3 linked regions of the Callithrix jacchus genome follow. The protein of the gene in region 1 purifies or fractionates together with the protein of each later gene. This does not show direct contact. Links are inferred from orthologs where the notes say so. Each region holds a gene or a part of one and is shown in the gene's direction. Other genes may lie near its edges. The genes, in order: POLR3D, protein POLR1D and POLR2H.

Evidence for each region.
Region 2: the proteins of POLR3D (region 1) and protein POLR1D purify together in Homo sapiens (affinity purification with mass spectrometry; 6 studies listed by BioGRID and IntAct, counting the BioPlex papers as one, with this or other methods). This does not show direct contact. The link is inferred for Callithrix jacchus from reciprocal best matches to the Homo sapiens genes POLR3D and POLR1D.
Region 3: the proteins of POLR3D (region 1) and POLR2H purify together in Homo sapiens (affinity purification with mass spectrometry; 4 studies listed by BioGRID and IntAct, with this or other methods). This does not show direct contact. The link is inferred for Callithrix jacchus from reciprocal best matches to the Homo sapiens genes POLR3D and POLR2H.

What each region holds. Positions count from the first base shown.
Region 1 is NC_133514.1:19,237,603-19,243,766, reverse strand, and holds the start of POLR3D (DNA-directed RNA polymerase III subunit RPC4), read left to right. Parts: upstream 1-2,300; 5' UTR 2,301-2,426; intron 2,427-2,646; 5' UTR 2,647-2,651; coding exon 2,652-2,816; intron 2,817-4,115; coding exon 4,116-4,159; intron 4,160-4,740; coding exon 4,741-4,892; intron 4,893-5,039; coding exon 5,040-5,164; intron 5,165-5,366; coding exon 5,367-5,535; intron 5,536-5,930; coding exon 5,931-6,164. UniProt on the Homo sapiens protein: DNA-dependent RNA polymerase catalyzes the transcription of DNA into RNA using the four ribonucleoside triphosphates as substrates.
Region 2 is NC_133506.1:146,816,202-146,822,220, forward strand, and holds the start of protein POLR1D, read left to right. Parts: upstream 1-2,404; 5' UTR 2,405-2,496; coding exon 2,497-2,522; intron 2,523-3,392; coding exon of another isoform or gene 3,393-3,768; exon of another isoform or gene 3,769-3,967; intron 3,968-5,777; exon of another isoform or gene 5,778-5,871; coding exon of another isoform or gene 5,872-5,888; intron 5,889-6,019. Other genes in the region: uncharacterized protein LOC144582762, read right to left, coding at 546-1,832; POLR1D (DNA-directed RNA polymerases I and III subunit RPAC2), read left to right, coding at 2,497-2,522, 3,393-3,768.
Region 3 is NC_133516.1:13,340,088-13,346,065, forward strand, and holds the start of POLR2H (DNA-directed RNA polymerases I, II, and III subunit RPABC3), read left to right. Parts: upstream 1-1,793; 5' UTR 1,794-1,915; coding exon 1,916-1,988; intron 1,989-3,542; coding exon 3,543-3,626; intron 3,627-3,709; coding exon 3,710-3,803; intron 3,804-4,946; coding exon 4,947-5,030; intron 5,031-5,978. UniProt on the Homo sapiens protein: DNA-dependent RNA polymerase catalyzes the transcription of DNA into RNA using the four ribonucleoside triphosphates as substrates.

The sequences.
Region 1 (6,164 bases):
GTGAGCCACCGATCCCGGCCGCACAAGCCTTGAATGCAATTTAGCAAAGTGAATGAAGAACCATAAAATATGCATGTACAAAACGGTACAGCCACTGTGGAAAACAGCTTGGCAGTTTCTTATAAAACTAAGATACAACTACCATATGACCCAATTATTGCACTCATGGGCAATTATCCCAGAGAAATAAAAACTTACGTTCACACAAAAACCCGTACGTGTATTTTCACAGCAACTTTATTCATAATAACCCCAAACGGAAAACCACCCAGATGTCTTTCAAAGGGTGAATGGCTAAACAAACCACGAATAGGCTCCAATAAAAGAGAAGGAACTATTGATACACACACAACTTGGATGATCTCTGGGGAACAATGCCGAGTGAAGAAAGCAATCCTAAGAAGTCACATACTGTACGATTCCATTTATATAACACTTTTCAAATAACGAAATGGCAGGAATCGAGAACAGACTAGTGGTGGGAGGAGGTGGGGGAGGGAGGTGTGGCTATAAAAGGGCAACTAGAGAGATCCTTGTGGTGATGGAAACTTCTCCTATCTTGACTGTAATAATGTCAATATCCTGGTGGCAAGATGTTACTATTGGGGGAAAACAGTGAACAGTACTTGGGATCTCTCTATATTGTTTCTTACAACTCTACATGAACCTACAATGTTCTCAAAATAAAAAGTTTAATTTAAAAAATGTTTTTAGAGATAGGGTCTTGCTGTGTCACCCAGGCTGGAGTGCAGGGACCAGATCATAGCTCATTGCAACCTTGAACTGCTGAGCCTTTCAAGAAATTCTCCCACCTCTGCCTTCCAAAGTACTGGGATTACAAGTGTAAGCCACGATGCCCATCCCAAAAATTTACTTAAAAAAAAAAAAAAAATGCATCTTCTTTTGGCCAGCTATCCCAGGACGGGAAATCTATCCCAGGAATATAATCCAAAAGAAAACAAACAAAAAGCACGTCGAATGTACCACATATTCACTACAACGTTATTTAAAACAGGAAAAAAAGGAACAATCAGGAAAATACTTAAATCATGATACAGCCACTGGAGAACGACACAGTCTTTGATGTGGCAACAGAGAAATGTTATTTGGAAAAGGAGGATACAGGCCAGGCGCGGTGGCTGACGCCTGTAATTCCAGCACATTGGGAGGCCAAGGTGGGTGGGATCACTTGAACTCAGGAGTTAAAGACCAGCCTGGGCAACACAGTGAAACTCCATCTCTACGAGGTGGGGGACGGGGGGAGCGGGGAAAGGCATGGTGGCATGCATCTGTAGTCCCAGCTACTCGGGAAGCTGAGGTTGGAGCATGGCTTGAGCCTGTGAGGCAGAGGGTGCCGTGAGCCGATCCTACCACTGCAGTCTGGGCAACAGAGAGAAACCTCGTCTCCCTCTTCTCCCCGCCTCCCCCCAAAAAAAACAAAAGAAAAAGGATACGAAATTGTGATAGAATATGACAACTTTGTGAAGACTACTAGATATATTACAAAATTTTTAATAGTAGTACTCTACGTGGCAATCGAATAGAAATGATTTCCTTTCCTCAAACTCCCCGTAATATTGTTACATGGTTTTTACATGGTCTGGGGGGTAACATTAAATGACACTTTTTATGTGAAATCACAAACATCGGAGTCAATCGAAGTTTTTCAAATTCCAACAGTAGAGCAAACTTGGTATTCCGATTCCGTGCAGGCTTTCACCAAGAGCGCACATGAGGGCCACCGCCGTCGTGAGCCCAAGGCGGTTGTGACTGGGTACCGGTTGGTCCATTGCGGCTGTTCCAACGCTGCCCCCCACAGCCTCACCCCTGAACCCCCCCAGGAGCACAGGGAAGGGGGTCCTCAAAAGTGGGCGAGGCCGCTGCCCGCAGGAACTGTCCACTTCAAGGTCACCATGGAGAACCCGAGACGGGGCTCGGCGTGGCCCAGGACTCCCCAACTTTGAGTTCAAGTCTCGCTCTCTGCGCCGCGCCCCTCGCCCCATCCCGAGCAGCGACCCCAAAGCTCCCAGGGGCTCCGCCGCGGCGATTCCTCACATTGCGCGTGGCGGCCAACAAGGCCCAGGAGCCTGAATTCGGCGCCTCCACACCCCCGCCCGAGGCCTAAGACCCCCGAACGCCACGTCACAGCGTAGCCCAGAACAGTAGTCCCCTTATTCTTTTTCGCCCTCTCAACCCAGCTTTTCCCGACTCCGGGAAGAACCGGGAAGAGAAGGCGGAGGGGAGCGAAGCGCCGCCTAATAAATACTGTGGCTCAGTCCCGCCCCCAGAACATCACTTCCGCCCCGCGCCAACATGGCGGCGCCCAGACCATGCCACGCAGACTTCCGTTCGGCGCGGAGACCGAAGGCTAGCTGCAGGTCGCGTCTCTGGTGAAGTCGTGAGCGTGGTGTGGGGCCGCGGTCCGGGTGAGTCCCTGCCTGGTTCTTGGGCGGGGGTCCTGGAGACAGGGCGTGTCACGAGGGCTCTCACCTGGGTGGTCTGGGGAGTCTTGCCACGTGGGAGGGGAGGAGCAGAGACGCCACTGGAGGACGCGCTGAGTGGGGAACCGGAAGCCAAGTGGGTGGGGTTCCGCAAGGGTCCGCGTGTCAATCCCCTCTGGTCATCTCGTTGTCCCTTCTTTGCCAGGCAACATGTCGGAAGGAAACGCCGCCGGCGAGCCCAGCACTCCGGGAGGGCCCCGACCCCTCCTGACCGGGGCTCGGGGGCTCATCGGGCGGCGGCCGGCGCCCCCCCTCACTCCCGGCCGCCTTCCCTCCATCCGTTCCAGGGACCTCACCCTCGGGGGAGTCAAGAAGGTACCCAACGGCGCGTTTCTAAAGAAACTCACCTACCTTGAATTCCAAGCCGCGAGATTCAACTAATGTTCGTGTAGGGCCTACTGTGTGTCTGGAGTATTGTTCGGCCTCACGCCTACTCCTCTTTACATTCTAGGGAGCCTGTCCTACCTTCAAATCTAGGTACTGAGTACAGATGTTGAAATGATTCTCAGAGGTGGTTGAAGGATAGAGAGTCCTAATTAGTTAACGTTGTTCAAAAGCAACTTGAACAGTGTTTATTTACTTTCATTGTGTGTTTGGACATCTATAACAAGCCCATGAAAGCCAGGCAGGCATAAACCTCACAGTCTTAGAGAGTTCAGAATTCAACATCTCAGTGTGCAGACTTTTTATCTAGAGTATGATGAATCCTAGGCATAGCATTTGAGGCTCTGTGGTCTCCCATGTGCATATGATTGTGGATGTCAAGAGTAGCTCTGAAAGGGGTAGGGTCAGGATGGCAGGAGAATAAAGCAGTATTTAAAAACCTAACTTTGCGACTGGGCACCACGGCTCACGCCTGTAATCCCAGCACTTTGGGAGGCCGAGGTGGGCAGATTACCTGAGGTCAGGAGTTTGAGACCAGCCTGGCCAGTGAAACCCCTACAAAAAATACAGAAATTAGCTGGGTATGTCTCTAATAAAAATACAACAATTAGAAGTGTGGTGGCAGGTGCCTGTAATCCCAGCTACTCAGGAGACTGAGGCAGGAGAATCGCTTGAACCTGGGAGGCAGAGGCTGGAGTGAGCCGAGATCGTACCATTGCACTCCAGCCACAGTAACAAGAGTGAAACTCCCTCTCAAAAGAAAAAAAACACCTAACTTTGCCTTGGAAAATTGTGACGGTCTATAATCCCCTGATTGAGAGTGTTGGCAGATCTGTGGTCTTCCCTACTTATGTCTTGGTGCTAGAGCTGTTCTCTCATGATACTCACTGGTCTCTATAGCAGTTTGAAGATGAGAGGTGAGACTAGAGAAATTCCTTTGCTTTTAGAAGTCCCAGAGGGTATTCTTTCAGAGGCAGAACCTAAGGCTGCTGGTTAAAAATGAGGTTTGGTGCCCCTTTCTTTTATGTGTAACTCCACTGCCACCACACCATGACATTCCTTCTTTTCAGTCACATGTCTGTCTCTGTAAAGCGGACAGCACTGTGGAACGTGCCAAAGACAACCATGTTGGCCTTGGTTGGTAGACAGTGCCCTTTGGGAATTTTTTTTTTCCTCTGTACTTTGGGGTCAGGACCTAACACATCAGTGACTCCTGTATTTTGCTTTCAGAAAACCTTCACCCCAAATATCATCAGTCGGAAGATCAAAGAAGAGTAAGTAGCTAGGCCTTCTGAATACTTGCCCCTTATTTACTTTCTCTGAATATGGGGCTTTGGGGGAAGTAACTAGGTTTGTGGCTCTGACAAATTTATGTTTTTAGTTCTTTTCACTGGTGATTTTCAGTCCTTGCTTCTAGGTGATTCTGATGTGTAAGTTTAAAAAAAAAATATTGGTGTCTAGGGCTCCATCTCTAAAAATTGTGATTTAATTTGTTGGCAGTGGAATGGAGTGATTCTCTTTGATGGCCAGAGTTGAGAGCCACTAGTTTAAACAAAGATGTATCATACTTTCCTTGAAGTTCCTTTGGATTTCTGCCTTCCTGCTTTCAGTCCCAATGCAAAAAAAAAAAAAAAAATCTACATTTTTGGACAAGGTAAAGTAAAGCAAACTGAAAAAATCCTGCCTCATCAAGGAAGTGAGAAAAGTGCTAGAATTAGAACTGGATTCTGCTTCTCATAGTGTAATTATTGGCTCAGACTCTCCACTGTCTTGGAGTGAGGTGGTATGGGAGATTAAGGCCAGTTTTCGGAGACACAGTGAGTGAGTGGTTTCCCGAATCCATTCTCTTTTCCAGGCCCAAGGAAGAAGTAACTGTCAAGAAGGAGAAGCGTGAAAGGGACAGAGACCGACAGCGAGAGGGGCATGGACGAGGACGAGGCCGCCCAGAAGTGATCCAGTCCCACTCCATCTTTGAGCAGGGCCCAGCCGAAATGATGAAGAAAAAAGGTACGAAGAAGGAATCAGTAGTGAATTTGAGTTCAGACTGCCCAAGAGAAGGGCAAGAGCAGTGGAATTTCCCTGCTCCCAGTTCAGTTTTCCTTGCTGTTGGCATCTTCCTGATTGATCCCTAGTGACCCGGGTGATTTCCCACAGGAAACTGGGATAAGACAGTGGATGTGTCAGACATGGGACCTTCTCATATCATCAACATCAAAAAAGAGAAGAGAGAGACAGACGAAGAAACGAAACAGATCTTGCGCATGCTGGAGAAGGACGATGTGGGTACCTGGAGGCTTGGGGAAGGGGCTTGCTTGTGGCTGTAGAACAGGGCTTCTGGGGAGCCAGGTGAGGGGCGGAAGAGCTCACTGAGTCCTGGAATCTGGGGGAGCAGCAGGAATCTTCGGTTAGAAAGTGACTAAAGCAGACTTTTTTCCAAGTGCGTATGCTAGCAGGCTGGATGACCCCAATTCTTTTTGGCAGTTCCTCGATGACCCCGGGCTGAGGAACGACACTCGAAATATGCCTGTGCAGCTGCCGCTGGCTCACTCAGGATGGCTTTTTAAGGAAGAAAATGACGAACCAGATGTTAAATCGTGGCTGGCTGGCCCCAAGGAAGAGGACATGGAGGTGGATGTACCTGCTGTGAAAGGTACTCTGTGTCCATTAACTTCTCATCTCCAATTCCATGGCTACTCCCAGGAATCCCTGGCATCAGACATCCCTTGCATGGGGCCCTAACTGCTGCTTATGAGCAGATGCTCCCTTGCTGGCTGTAAGATACAGGAGCTAAACAAAGATGCTTGATTCTCTCTCACAGAGGGTTCACATGTTGACGTGGAGCAGTGGGCTCAGCCTCAGATGTCCTTTTTTAGTTAAGTCACACAAGACTTGAACGTGTTGTCCTGTGCCCCTCTCTATAAGCAGTCCCTCCTTCCCACTCCCTGGCTGAGTGATAGTGGAGTAGATAGGGCCAAAGGGCTGGTAACAGTGAGCTGATGTGGAGGGTGGTCACATGATAGCCTTCCACTTCTATCACCCCCGCAGTGAAAGAGGAGCCTCGAGATGAGGAGGAGGAGGCCAAGATGAAGGCTCCTCCCAAAGCAGCCAGGAAGACCCCAGGCCTCCCGAAGGACATATCTGTGGCAGAGCTGCTCAGGGAGCTAAGCCTCACCAAGGAGGAGGAACTGCTGTTTCTCCAGCTGCCAGACACCCTCCCTGGCCAACCGCCCACCCAGGACATCAAGCCCATCAAGACAGAGGTACAGGGCGAGGATGGCC
Region 2 (6,019 bases), on another chromosome or scaffold:
AGGCAGTTCCAATAAGCTGGAGCTCACAAGTGTTTCTCTTCCTGCACCGCCACCGCTTTTCACTCAACTTTGTTTCGGATTTCTGTGCCTTTAAAAAGCATAATATGTACAGCAAGGCCCATGCATGAGTGTACTTTAGTTCCTGGCATAAACGAACGCCTGGATCTAATAACTTAAACTGAAATACCAGAAGAAACACTACATGAGTCAAAAGTCCTCGTTTAAAACGTGGCATAAAGCTTTGAAAAGTGAGTGATGTACTTCCCGAATGATGCTTTGTGTGCAACTGCTTCCAAAGCAAGATCCGTATTCTTAAATTACTCCCTGGAAGATGTCAAATCTCTCTCCCACCATCTTCAGCCTAAAGAGAAGGGTGAGAATTCATAGGCAACAGGCTGGGGCGGAGGGAATGATCTCTCCCCATCCCTTTCCAGAGGAACAAAACCCGATAAAGGCAGCTAGTGCCACTCTCATTGCCAACAACACACACACACACACACACACACACACACACACACACACACAGAGGAAATTTAAACACTTACCCCACCTCTCCCTTCCCTTAAGAAGCAAACGACGCCAAGATCTGCACCACGGTGGCCGGAACCAGCAAATGCTAACAGCCGGAGGCCGCCCGCCTCCTGGGCGCCTGCAGGGGGTGGGCACCGGGCTCCGACTCTCCCTCCCGGAGCAGCCCCACACCCGAGTCCACGCTGGCCCTGCAGCCCGAGCAAGCGAGGACAGTCGCAGAGGACCAGAGCTCCGGGGAGAGCTGCGGCGCCGCACCGGCCGCCTCCCGGGGCGCGGTGCTGCCCCACACCCCGCCGACGCCCGCACCTGAGGCGGCTGCCCGGAGCCGGCGAGAGGGCGCGCAGCGAGGCGGGCAGGGCAAAGTTACTCACTGGGAAAGCGCGGCTGCCCGGGCCGCTCACCGGCTCCCGGCGCCGCTGCCCGGCACCAGCTCCAGCTCTCCGCAGCCCGCTGAGACAGAGGAGAACCAGCCCGGCTCCGCTCCGCCGCCGCAGCCGCCGCGGATTTCCTGGCAAGAAACAAACTCCGGCCAAGACTTCACTTCTCAACCGCCCCTGCTGCCTTCCCGGGGGCCAGCGCCAAGGCCAAGCGGCCCAACCCGCACCCGGGCCAATCGGAAGCAGCACAGGGCGGGAGGGGGTGGGCCAGAGGGCGGCCCCGCCTATCCGAGAGCTCGGGAGGCGGGCCAGAAGAGGGACCGTCACTCCCGGGTTAGAGTGAGACCACTCCGCCCTCGCTGCCTGCCTCCCCCACCCGCCTCTGGCTGTCCCCGCCGGCCGCCTGATTCTCCTGCGGAAGCCCCGCTGGCGAGGTGCCTGCGCGCACCCTCGGCAGCCGCCAGGAATGGCACAGCTGGGGAGGGAGTGGACATCCAGGGGAATCGCGGGGAGGGGTGGGGGAGGAGAACAGGAGGCGCAGGGAAGCAGAAACATAGGTGCGCAAGACCACAGGGCAGCTGGAGTAGGGCAGGGTCGGGGCCGGCGGCCAGGGGAGAAGAAGGGGCGATTCGCGAGTAAGCCCACCTGAGGGAGTGCGGCGAGGGCCGGGACGCAGGGAGCAGGGCGGAGAGCGAGCCCAGGCGGTGAAAGGTTGCCGAGGCGGGGGCTGGGCACCTGGGAACAAAGGTGAGGGCGGGTTCCGCAGGTGAGGAGGTTTGAGGAGCCACGGGGGGTAAAGGGAAAAGGACGTCCACTGCGGGAGAGGACGCGCCCCGGGGGTATAAGGAATTCTAGGACCGAAGAAAGGATGAGGTGGGAAACAGTTTTCTTCCAAACTCTCGCTCCCTCAAAAGAGAAAGACATTTCTTTCCTGCCCTTTTTTGACCCAGTTGAGAATGCAGCTGCAAGCTCCAGGGTCAAACACCGCCTTCAACCCTAGTGTTCTGTTGTGACTCATCTCGCACATGACCCCCTTTCCAAGGTGTGTTGACCGACTAGAGCCTAAGCCTGTTGTCCCACGAAAGGCCCGGGAGGGCCGAGGTCCTGGGAAGGGCCACCCTGGGTCGACACGGCCCCAGTGGGGGAGTCGGGCCTATTTCGGACTTGCCACTGTGAAGTTAAGTGATTTGGGGGCGTCAGGTAAGGCCCCGCTACTTCGCCATCACCTGGTGAAAGGTACCAGGGCTGACCCGGGGCTCCCGCAGGCAGGTCTGGGCCTCGGGGTAAAGCGGCGCTGGCCCCACCCTCTGCCCCTCCTGCGGCGGGTGGCCTCGCTGGGGCGCCCAGGTGAGCCAAGGGGCGGTGAGCCACGGCCGACCCCGAGTCGGGGCGGGGATTGGGGGCGGAGCCTCATGCCCCGCCCCGCCGTTGGGCCCTGCCGCGCCGCTGCGGCTCCTCCTCTCTCCTTCCGTCCTCCGCGCTTTCCGTCGGTCGGTCCTTCCTTCCTGCTTCGTCTCCACGCCTCGAGCTATGGGGCAGAGCCCCCGATACGTTAGCACCACCTGAGGACCCGGAAACCGCCTCCACGATGGAAGAGGACCAGGAACTGGAGAGGTAATGGCCAAGGAGTAGGCGGGCGAAGCGGGCCGCGCCCAAGGGGATCGGGTGGCCGAGGGGCACGCGGCCCGGCCTGGCAGCCCCGGCCTGACTCCGGGCGCAGGGAAGAGGCGTGGAGAGAGAAGGGGGAAGAGACATGAATGTGTTTTAAATGAGAGGCTGAAAGGTACGCTAGCTATCAAGGAGGGAAGACAAGTTGGGAGACCAGAGTTAAGTCCCCGAACTGCCCACCCCCATTAGAACAGCAGCGTGTAAAATCACGCCCCGGGCCCCTGCCTCCTTGAGGACGGTACTGATGCCTGTGTCCCTGTAACTACTGCTCACTTTCCTTCTCTGTGCAGACTGCTCCTAAAGCCACTCCTCTGTGTACTGAGCTCTTATCCTCCCTCCTGCTTGACTCCTGGACCTTCCATTCTCCTAGTTTCCTTCTCTTGCAAAATGGAAGCTGCATTCCATTTTGGGCCTGCACATTGATCATCTGTATCCTCTATTTTTATACTGGAGCAATCGGGATTTCTATGCCTTTCAACCCCATTTTCATCCTCTAGCAGGACCCATCCTATTCCAATCTTATCCCTTGCTCGTGACTCTACCAAAGAATATTTTTGCAAACACTTAAGTTTGTGTTTTTCTAAGAAAGCTCCCCTTGTGGCCAGTGTGGATGGTCAAATGGAGCATGGAAAAACCGGAGGCAATAAATTAAATATTTATTGATAGAGTTTGTGGAGGCAGGAAAATGAGAGGCAAATAGTTCTGTGTAGCTGGAGTAGATTGATAACGTGTTGCAATGTGATATAGTAAATGAAAAAAGCTAGTTACAAAACCATATTCAGTATGATCTCATTTTTATAAAAAATATGTGTGTAGAAAAATATCTGGATTGAAGACCTCAATGGCTGAAGGCGAGAGGAAGACAGCCCTGGAAATGGTCCAGGCAGCTGGAACAGATAGACACTGTGTGACATTTGTATTGCACGAGGAGGACCATACCCTAGGAAATTCTCTGCGTTACATGATCATGAAGAACCCGGAAGTGGAATTTTGTGGTTACACTACGACCCATCCTTCAGAGAGCAAAATTAATTTACGCATTCAGACTCGAGGTGCCCTTCCAGCTGTTGAGCCATTTCAGAGAGGCCTGAATGAGCTCATGAATGTCTGCCAACATGTGCTTGACAAGTTTGAGGCCAGCATAAAGAACTATAAGGAACAAAAAGCAAGCAGAAATGAATCCACATTCTAGTCCCTTATGCAGTATACAAGGAGAACTGTCCTCTAGGATATTCTCTTCCTGATGGTGCAGAACTCAGAATTAGAAGCTTGTGATCAAAGCATACTCTGTCCTTCAGAAAGGCATGATTCTAGCTGTTGACCCCTTGTAGCTGTTGGAATCTCTGCAAGAACCTCTGTATTCTTCTAATAAATTCCCTCTTTTATTTAAACTAGTTTGACTGGTTTGTGTTCCATGCAAACAAATGGTCCTCGAGGATACCTTTTTTTTCTTTCAATTAAGCCAGCATGGAAAATGAGGAAACTGAAAATATTAGACGCCTAGACAAGAACTGTGATTATGGGAATTAAAAGGAGTATATATCCATGTCTGTAATTGGGGTGGTGGGGGTAAGGGCAGAGACAAAAAGCATGACTCCAGTTAGACTTTGGTTGGTTTAAGAAAAGAAGAGGATAGGGTGGGGACTTGGCTTGTTGCTAAACATTTTTGCTTTTAAAGAATTATGTCATTTGCTGTGTCTGGTAGACTGGGCAAGGGTGGGAAATAATTTGAAAGAATGGTAAGAATTCTGGGTTTACATGAGAGTTTTAGGTGGTATCAGGTTCCATCTTTGAGGCATTTACAGGAAGGATACCAGTTTACTGCTTGAATTTCGGGATATAGATGTTTAGTCATGATCTTAGTAAGGTAAGACCTTTTGATTATGTTACAGGAGGAAACTGGGATGACTAGATAACGTTTTCAGTCCTTAGGTAGGTGTAGCCTAGGGTAACATAGAAGCCCTATTTGAAAAAAGGTAAAGCCAAGGAGAAGGAAAACTCCATGTGGGGGAAATGACCGTTCTAGAAAACACATACACCATCCGCCAGTGCTCTGTGCTTTGAGGCCTTGTTTATGCTACCCCTGCTTCCTGGGGCAATCTTACTCCTGCCATACTCTTAAATCAAAACTTATGTGTTGGGCCCCCCAGCCTAGTGTGGGTACTTTGTGCTTTCATTACACCCTGTGTTTCCTGGCCTTGGCATTTACTGTGCTGTTGGTAGTGCTTGTCTACCCAGTATACCAACTTGCAGGTCAGCATGATTCTGTTACCTGGAACACCTGACAGGTAGTGGACACTTAGTAAATACTCTGTGAATTCATGAAATTAGTTATGGCTTGCAGCTTTTCAGTCACTCAAACCTGACCTCTAATACTAGCCTGCCACAGAGCCTACATTTCTTACACGCAGTCAACTTCTTTAAAGATATTTCCATATTTTTGAGCACTAGTATGTACGAGGCCTTGGGGATAGATATATAGCTATTGTGGATGAGACAGAGTTAGTCCTGTTTTCGTAAAGCGTGTGTTATAATTAGAGCCCCTTTTAAAAAAAATTGTGAAGCTCAGCATGGTGGCTCACGCCTGGGAAGCCAAGGTGGGTGGATCACTTGAGCCCGGGAGTTCGAGACAAGCTTAGGCAACATAGGCAGGATCTGTCTCTACAAAAATAAAAATAAAAAAGCTAGCCAAGTGTGGTGGCACATGCGTGTAATCCCAGCTACTTGGGAGGCTGAGGTGAGAGAACAGCTTGAACCCAGGAGGTGGAGGCTTCAGTGATCCATAATCACACCATTATACTCCAGCCTGGGTGACAGCGAGAATCTGTCTCAAAAAATATATAAAACTAAAAACTTGTAATTCTGTGAAAGCAACAAATGTAGGGTCAAGATAGAAAACATGAGAAAGGAATCTACTTTAGGCATGGGAGTTAGGAAAGGTGTTCTAGAGATTACAGGGAGAGAGCTGGGTGTACAAAGGGGCGAGAAAATGAATTCTGGGGGTATAGCATGTGCAAAGATGCTGAAGCAGAAAACTTGTGGTGTGAGTAACTAAAGATATTGGAAGAAAATTTGCATGTTTGTAGCACGGTAGACAAGGAGAGGGGTCTGTCCTCGAGTCCATGGGAGGAAGAGGTATGGTAGTAGGGATTTTGGATTTTAAGTGCAGTGGGAATGACATCTTCGTTACTTTGATTACAGTGTAGGGAGGAGATGAATTCTAGGGAGGCTGGAGTAGAGGCAGAGAGAGACACTGTAAAGAGTTGAAGTGACCTACCTGGAAGGATGGAAGCTAATGATGGAGAAGAGAAGGTAGGTGTGAGGTATATTTTAGAATTGTCAAAGAATTGGTACACCTCAGGAATTGAATGGAAGATGAATCAGAAAGATGGCTACTCCCTAGCTTTAGGGCCAATTACTGAAATTGGAAAGCTTAAAATGGA
Region 3 (5,978 bases), on another chromosome or scaffold:
CGCCGGCGGCCGTCCCGTCCCCGCAGCCCGGGAGACCGAGAGCAGAGTGCGGCGGGCCCGGAGCGGGCGCCGCAGGCGCAGCCTCCGGCTCCTGTCCCCTCCTCGGCGGGCGGGCCGAGGGTGGTGCCCTCTGCGCTGCTCCGCCCGCCAGCCCATCCGGAGGGGCCGGCCCAGCCAGGCCGGGGTCCGCGCGGGGCCTCCCGAGAGGCGGTAGGGGGCGCTGAGCAGTCTGGAGCCCGCGCCGGCTCCCTGCGGAGGCCGGGGAAGGAGAGGGGCGCCCGGGGCCGGGCAGGGGCGGGTCCGCGGGCACGTGGAGGGGCCGGGCCGGGTTGGCGGTTCCCTGCGTCCGGGCAGGAGGGGCTGCAGATGCCCGAGCTCCGCAGGGCTCAGGGATGGGGGTGCTGAGTGATCTACATCGGACGCCTCCGGGTCAGCCGGTTAGAAGCCGCTTCCCCTCTCCCCGTCCCAAGGGACTTGCAGCTCTGACAGGCCTGTCAGGGGTGAGCAGCAAAGCTGGGAGGATTCGGGGCGGATCGGGGCCGTCTTCCTTACTCCTTCCTTTCCCGGGGCTGCCCCAGGGAGGTGCACCCGGAGCAACCCGGCCTGCGGGGTGTGCGGGGGTGGAGGTTGGGAGGGCCCCGGAAGGGGTAGGCCGGAGGAGGGGAGCTCCACGGGCCGGGAGTCCACGCCCGGAACGCGGGCGTGGAGAGCAGAGGTCGCTTCTCCCTGGCTGGGCTCAAGGAGGAACCCGAGTCGCTGCTGCTGTCCCTCCGCTTTCGGGGAACGGTCTGCTGGTGCTCGGGGTTCTCTGTCAGGGGCCAGGGAAGGATAGAAAAGAGGGCGGAGCGCGCGCAGGGTGGACGGGCAGCTGAGCGACAGTGTGAGAGGAGCGGGGGCGGCGCCCAGGACGCGGACAGGGTGCGGGAGAGCCAGTAGTACCAGAAGGAAGGGCTATTTGGGAGGCAGAGGCGGGGCTCGGGGGGCGGGGGCAGTGCCCGGGGAGGGGGGGGGGCCCTGGGAGAGAAGCCGCCACCCAGGAGGAAGGGCCAGTGCGAGGGAAGAGCTGGTATTCAAGGGAGAGGGCAGTGCTAGGCCGAAGGGGTACGGAGGGGATCCGTGTCCAGTAAACGGGAACGCAGAGTACCAAGCTGGAGGGGGAGTGCCCAGGGGGCGGGAGCCAGGCTGAAGGGGCGGTGCGCGGGAAAACCAGGGCCTGGGGGAAGAGGGCAGTGTCGTGGGGTGCCGTATGAGGGGAGGGGACCATGCAGCCTTTCCATTTCTCCAAAGCGACGTCATGGCAAATTCCCAAACTGGACGGATCCGGCTCAGGTTACATCCAGAAGGGCCCAGCCGGCCCAGGCCGGCCCCGGCGTCCTTGGTGTCTCCTGGAGGGGCTGGGCACCTCTGGGGCGGGGTTCTTCTCCACCTGCCCTCGGCGAGGACTGTGCCCTTGGCGGGCACGAGGACCGGCGGGATAGGGCTAGGGCCTGGCCGCTCTGGGCCAAGGATCAAGGTCCCTGCCTGGGTTAGGCCCCCACGCATTCCAATCTTCTGGACTCAGACTCTGAAGAGCGCGCAGTAAAGCCCCAGCGTAGCAGAAGCCGCTCTACAGCCGCGGGAGGTTGGACCTATTGTTTCCCCGCCCTGGGCGGAGCCACCTGGCCGTGAGACCCGCCCTCAATGCCGAAGCCTCTCGGAAACAGTCTTTCGGGGAGGAAGTTAGGTAGCCCCGAGAGGAAGATTGTGGCGGAAGTGGTCGCGTTACCGCCTGTTTGTGCGCATGCGCTACTCTTGTCTAGCTGCCGCCTTTCTGGAGGTGCTTTTGCTCATCTCCCTTCTCCACGCGAGGGGGTGCGCGTACTCCCAGCCGTGGTCGCGCGTTAACCCCTTCTGCTGCTCTCCTGGCCCACTTGCGATGGCGGGCATCCTGTTTGAGGATATTTTCGATGTGAAGGATATTGACCCAGAGGGCAAGAAGTTTGACCGAGGTAAGTAAGGTACGAGGTTTGGAGGAAGACGCTAACCTCGCGGACATGTCCCTGGGCCCCATGCCCACCCAGCTCTTGTGGCCTGCTCCTACCAGCAGGTCCTGATGTAGGGACCTCCCTCAGGAAACACTTTATGAATGAGAAAACGGAGACTCAGCTCTCTGGCTTCACGCATGCCGTGCTGGGTGTCTGGATGGCCTTTTGTCATAGTGCTGGCAAACTCCTGAGCATCTTTATAATCGCTGCCTACTCTGTGCTAGACACTGTCTTGTGCGGCTCATACACCCTTTGCCTTACTTATTCTTAAGAGACCTCGGCCGGGCGCGATGACTCACGCCTGTAATCCCAGGACTTTGGGAGGCTGAGGCGGGTGGATCACTTGAGGTCAGGAGTTCGAGACCTGCCTGGCCATCATGGTGAAACCCTGTCTCTACTAAAAATACAAAAATGAGCCGGGTGTGGTGGTGGCGCGCCTGTAATCCCAGCTACTCGGTAGGCTGAGGCGGGAGAATCGCTTGAACCCAGGAGGCTAAAGTTGTGGTGAGCCAAGATCGAGCCACTACACTCCAGCCTGGGCGGCAGAGCCAGACTCCATTAAAAAAAAAAAAAAAATTATATATATATACGCTAAGCAGTTAACTAGTTAACTCTCAGAAAAGACTTCACTAAGCGCTAAAGATTCTGAGAGCGATACAAGAATATAGACTCTGAAGTTAGATTACTTGCTGTGCAGCCTTGGGTGAGTTACTCAAACTCTCAGAGAAAAACAGGGAAGGCACCACCCACCTCATGAAGACTCCTTTTTTTTTTTTTGAGATGGCGTCTCACTTTGTCACTCACACTGACTGGAGTGCAATGGTGTGATCTCGGCTTACTGCAACCTCTGCCTTCTGGATTCAAGCAATTCTCTTGCCTCAGCCTCCCAAGTAGCTGGGATTACAGGTGCCTGCCACCACACCCAGCTCGTTTTTGTATTTTTGGTAGAGATGGGGTTTCACCATGTTGGCCAGGCTGGTCTCCAACTCCTGACCTCCAGTGATCCACCTGCGTTAACCTCCCACAGTGCTGGGATGACAGGTGTGAGCCACCGCGCCTAGTCTCCATTTCTTTATTTTGTCATTGATCAATAATTTTCTCTTTGGTGTCTGTTTCTTTGCCTAGAGACTCAGATGTTTTTCAAGATGGATACCAGTCATTATACATCTTGATAACCCCCTCAGCACAGTGCCTAGCACAGAAAGAGGAAACCTTTGGATGATTCAATAACTTGCCCAGAGTCAGGTTCTCAGCCATCCAGGCAGGCCTAGAACCTGGATATTATTTGCTGCTGGAGTATCTTTAGTTGTTTTCTGGGGATTACGTTCACTTGCCACAGTTTTTCTCCTGATTTCCTCCTTGCATATCTGGGTCTGACTGAGCCTGCCTTAGAGGACATGAGAGACCAGTGGATGTAGGCTGGGTTAGATTGAGTATTCTGTTGCATACAATCCCACACTGTAGGATCTTCCCTGGGCCTGGCAATACCTCTCTTACTCTTTTTCCACTTTTCCCCAGTGTCTCGGCTACATTGTGAGAGTGAATCTTTCAAGATGGATCTCATCTTAGATGTAAACATTCAAATTTACCCTGTAGACTTGGGTAAGTATTGAACACAGACAATAATAAGAGGCTATTTGCTGCTTCAGCTATTCTTCACTCTCTGATATTGCTGTTATTTTTAGGTGACAAGTTCCGGTTGGTCATAGCTAGTACCTTGTATGAAGATGGCACCCTGGATGATGGTGAATATAACCCCACTGATGACAGGCCTTCCAGGTGAGGGAGTGGAGAAGGTGATACTTGAAATATGCCCTGAGGACTAAGTAGATAAGTGATATAGAAAGACTCTTCTGGCGGGGCACAGTGGTTCATGCCTGTAATCCCAGCACTTTGGGAGGTGGATCATGAGGTCAGGAGTTTGAGACCAGCCTGGGCAACATGGTGAAACCGCGTCTCTACTAAAATACAAAAAATTAATTGGGCATGGTGGTGGGCACCTGCATAGTCCCAGCTACTCAGGAGGCTGAGGCAGGAGAATTGCTTGAACCCAGGAAGCAGAGGTTGCAGTGAGCAGAGATTGGACCACTGAGTTCCAGGCTGGGCAACAGAACAAGACTCTGTCTCCAAAAAAAAGAAAAACGAAAGACTCTTCTTTAATTCCTAGAATAAATAATGATTAGCAGAATCTGAGTAACCTTAAGGAAATTTCTGCACTTAAGAATTCAAACAGACCAGGTACTATGGCTCACACATGTAATTCAAGCACTTTGGGAGGCTGAGTCAGGAGGATTGCTTGAGTCCAGGAGTTCAAGAGCAACCTGAGCAACATAGTGAAACCTCACTGCTACAAAAAAAAAAAAAAGCTGACCATGGTGGCATGTGCCTGTAGTTCCAGCTACCTGGGAAGCCAAGGTGGGAGGATTGCCTGAGCCAGGGAGATTGAGGCTGCAGTGAGCCACGATCATGCTACTGCACTCCAGCCTGAGCAACAGAGCAAGACCCTGTCTCAAAAAAAAAAAAAAGATAAAAAATTTCAAACAACCAGGTATTTATAACAGTGATTACATGCTTGTGAGTTGTAGCTTTTTGAAGGCTGAGAAGATGACCGCTCTGTGGGTCTTGTGTCTTGGGAGGGAGTTTGGTGTAATGGAAAGGCTTTGGCACCCCGCTCGAGTTGATTTCTGAGCTCTACCACTTACTTGCTAAGTAAGCTTGATCTCCTTCAGCCTGTTTCCTCATCAGTAAACTAGAGATGGTCCTGCCTAGCTCACAGAATTGCTGTGAGGACTAAATGGCGTCATGTTTATAATGTGCCTGTTGTTAAAATGCTGGCATCGAGTTACCAGTTACCATTTTTAAATGGCATCTTTTATATTGTTAATTACTGTTAAGAATAACTTTGCTACTCTTGCTCCATAGGGCTGACCAATTTGAGTATGTAATGTATGGGAAAGTATACAGGATTGAGGGAGACGAAACTTCTACTGAAGCGGCAACACGCCTGTAAGTTACATGATCTTGTGAGGATTGTTTTCCCCCTCCCTGTTCTGAGACTTTGAGTTATGCTTCTGCTTCCTCTGTTGGGTCCTTCTCCTTAGGCACCTCAGACATAGGTGGGAACTAGAAAGAAATGGTTATTAGAGCAGTTTCCAGTCTGAATTGTAGACTGCCCTTTGTCAGGCCCTCCTGGCCTAGTGGTCCAGAAGAGAAACTGGTCATCTCCCTGTTAAAGTATGGAGGAACCAAATGCAGCATTAAGTGATTATACTATTAGGCTGTGTGTGTGTGTGTGTGTGTGTGTCTTTTCCTTAAAATCTTATTAAAACAATATGTGCTGTTTGTAAGTAATTTGAAATGCGGAAGAGAATGTGAAGAAGAAAAAAAACCCTGTCATTCCATACCCAGAGAGAACCTTTTACATAGACTTTTTTGCATATCCTAGTGTTCTTTTTTTAAATTTATTTTTAATTTTTTGTTAATATCCTAGTGTTCTTAACATCTATATTTTTCCTTTGAGACTGCGGTGTTAATTACCTTTTTTCTGCTTTTTGCTTAACATTATGTAAAACATGTTTTGGCCGGGCGTGGTGGCTCACACCTGTAATCCCAACATTTTGTGAGGCCGAGGTGGGTGGATCACCAGGTCAGGAGTTTGAGACCAGCCTGGCCAACATAGTGAAACCCCGTCTCTACTAAAAAAATTACAAAAAATTAGCTGGGCATGGTGGCAGGTACCTATAATCCAGGTACTTGGGAGGCTGAGCCAGGAGAGTTGCTTGAACCCAGGAGGCGGAGGTTGCAGTGAGCTGAGATCTTGTGCCATTGCACCCCAGCCCAGGAGACAGAGAGAGACTCCGTCTCAAAAAAAAAGAAAAAGAAAAAGAAAATGTTTCCCCATGTTAGTGTAAAGCTTTCTTAAACATTTTAATAGTTAGATAACATTTCAGTAAG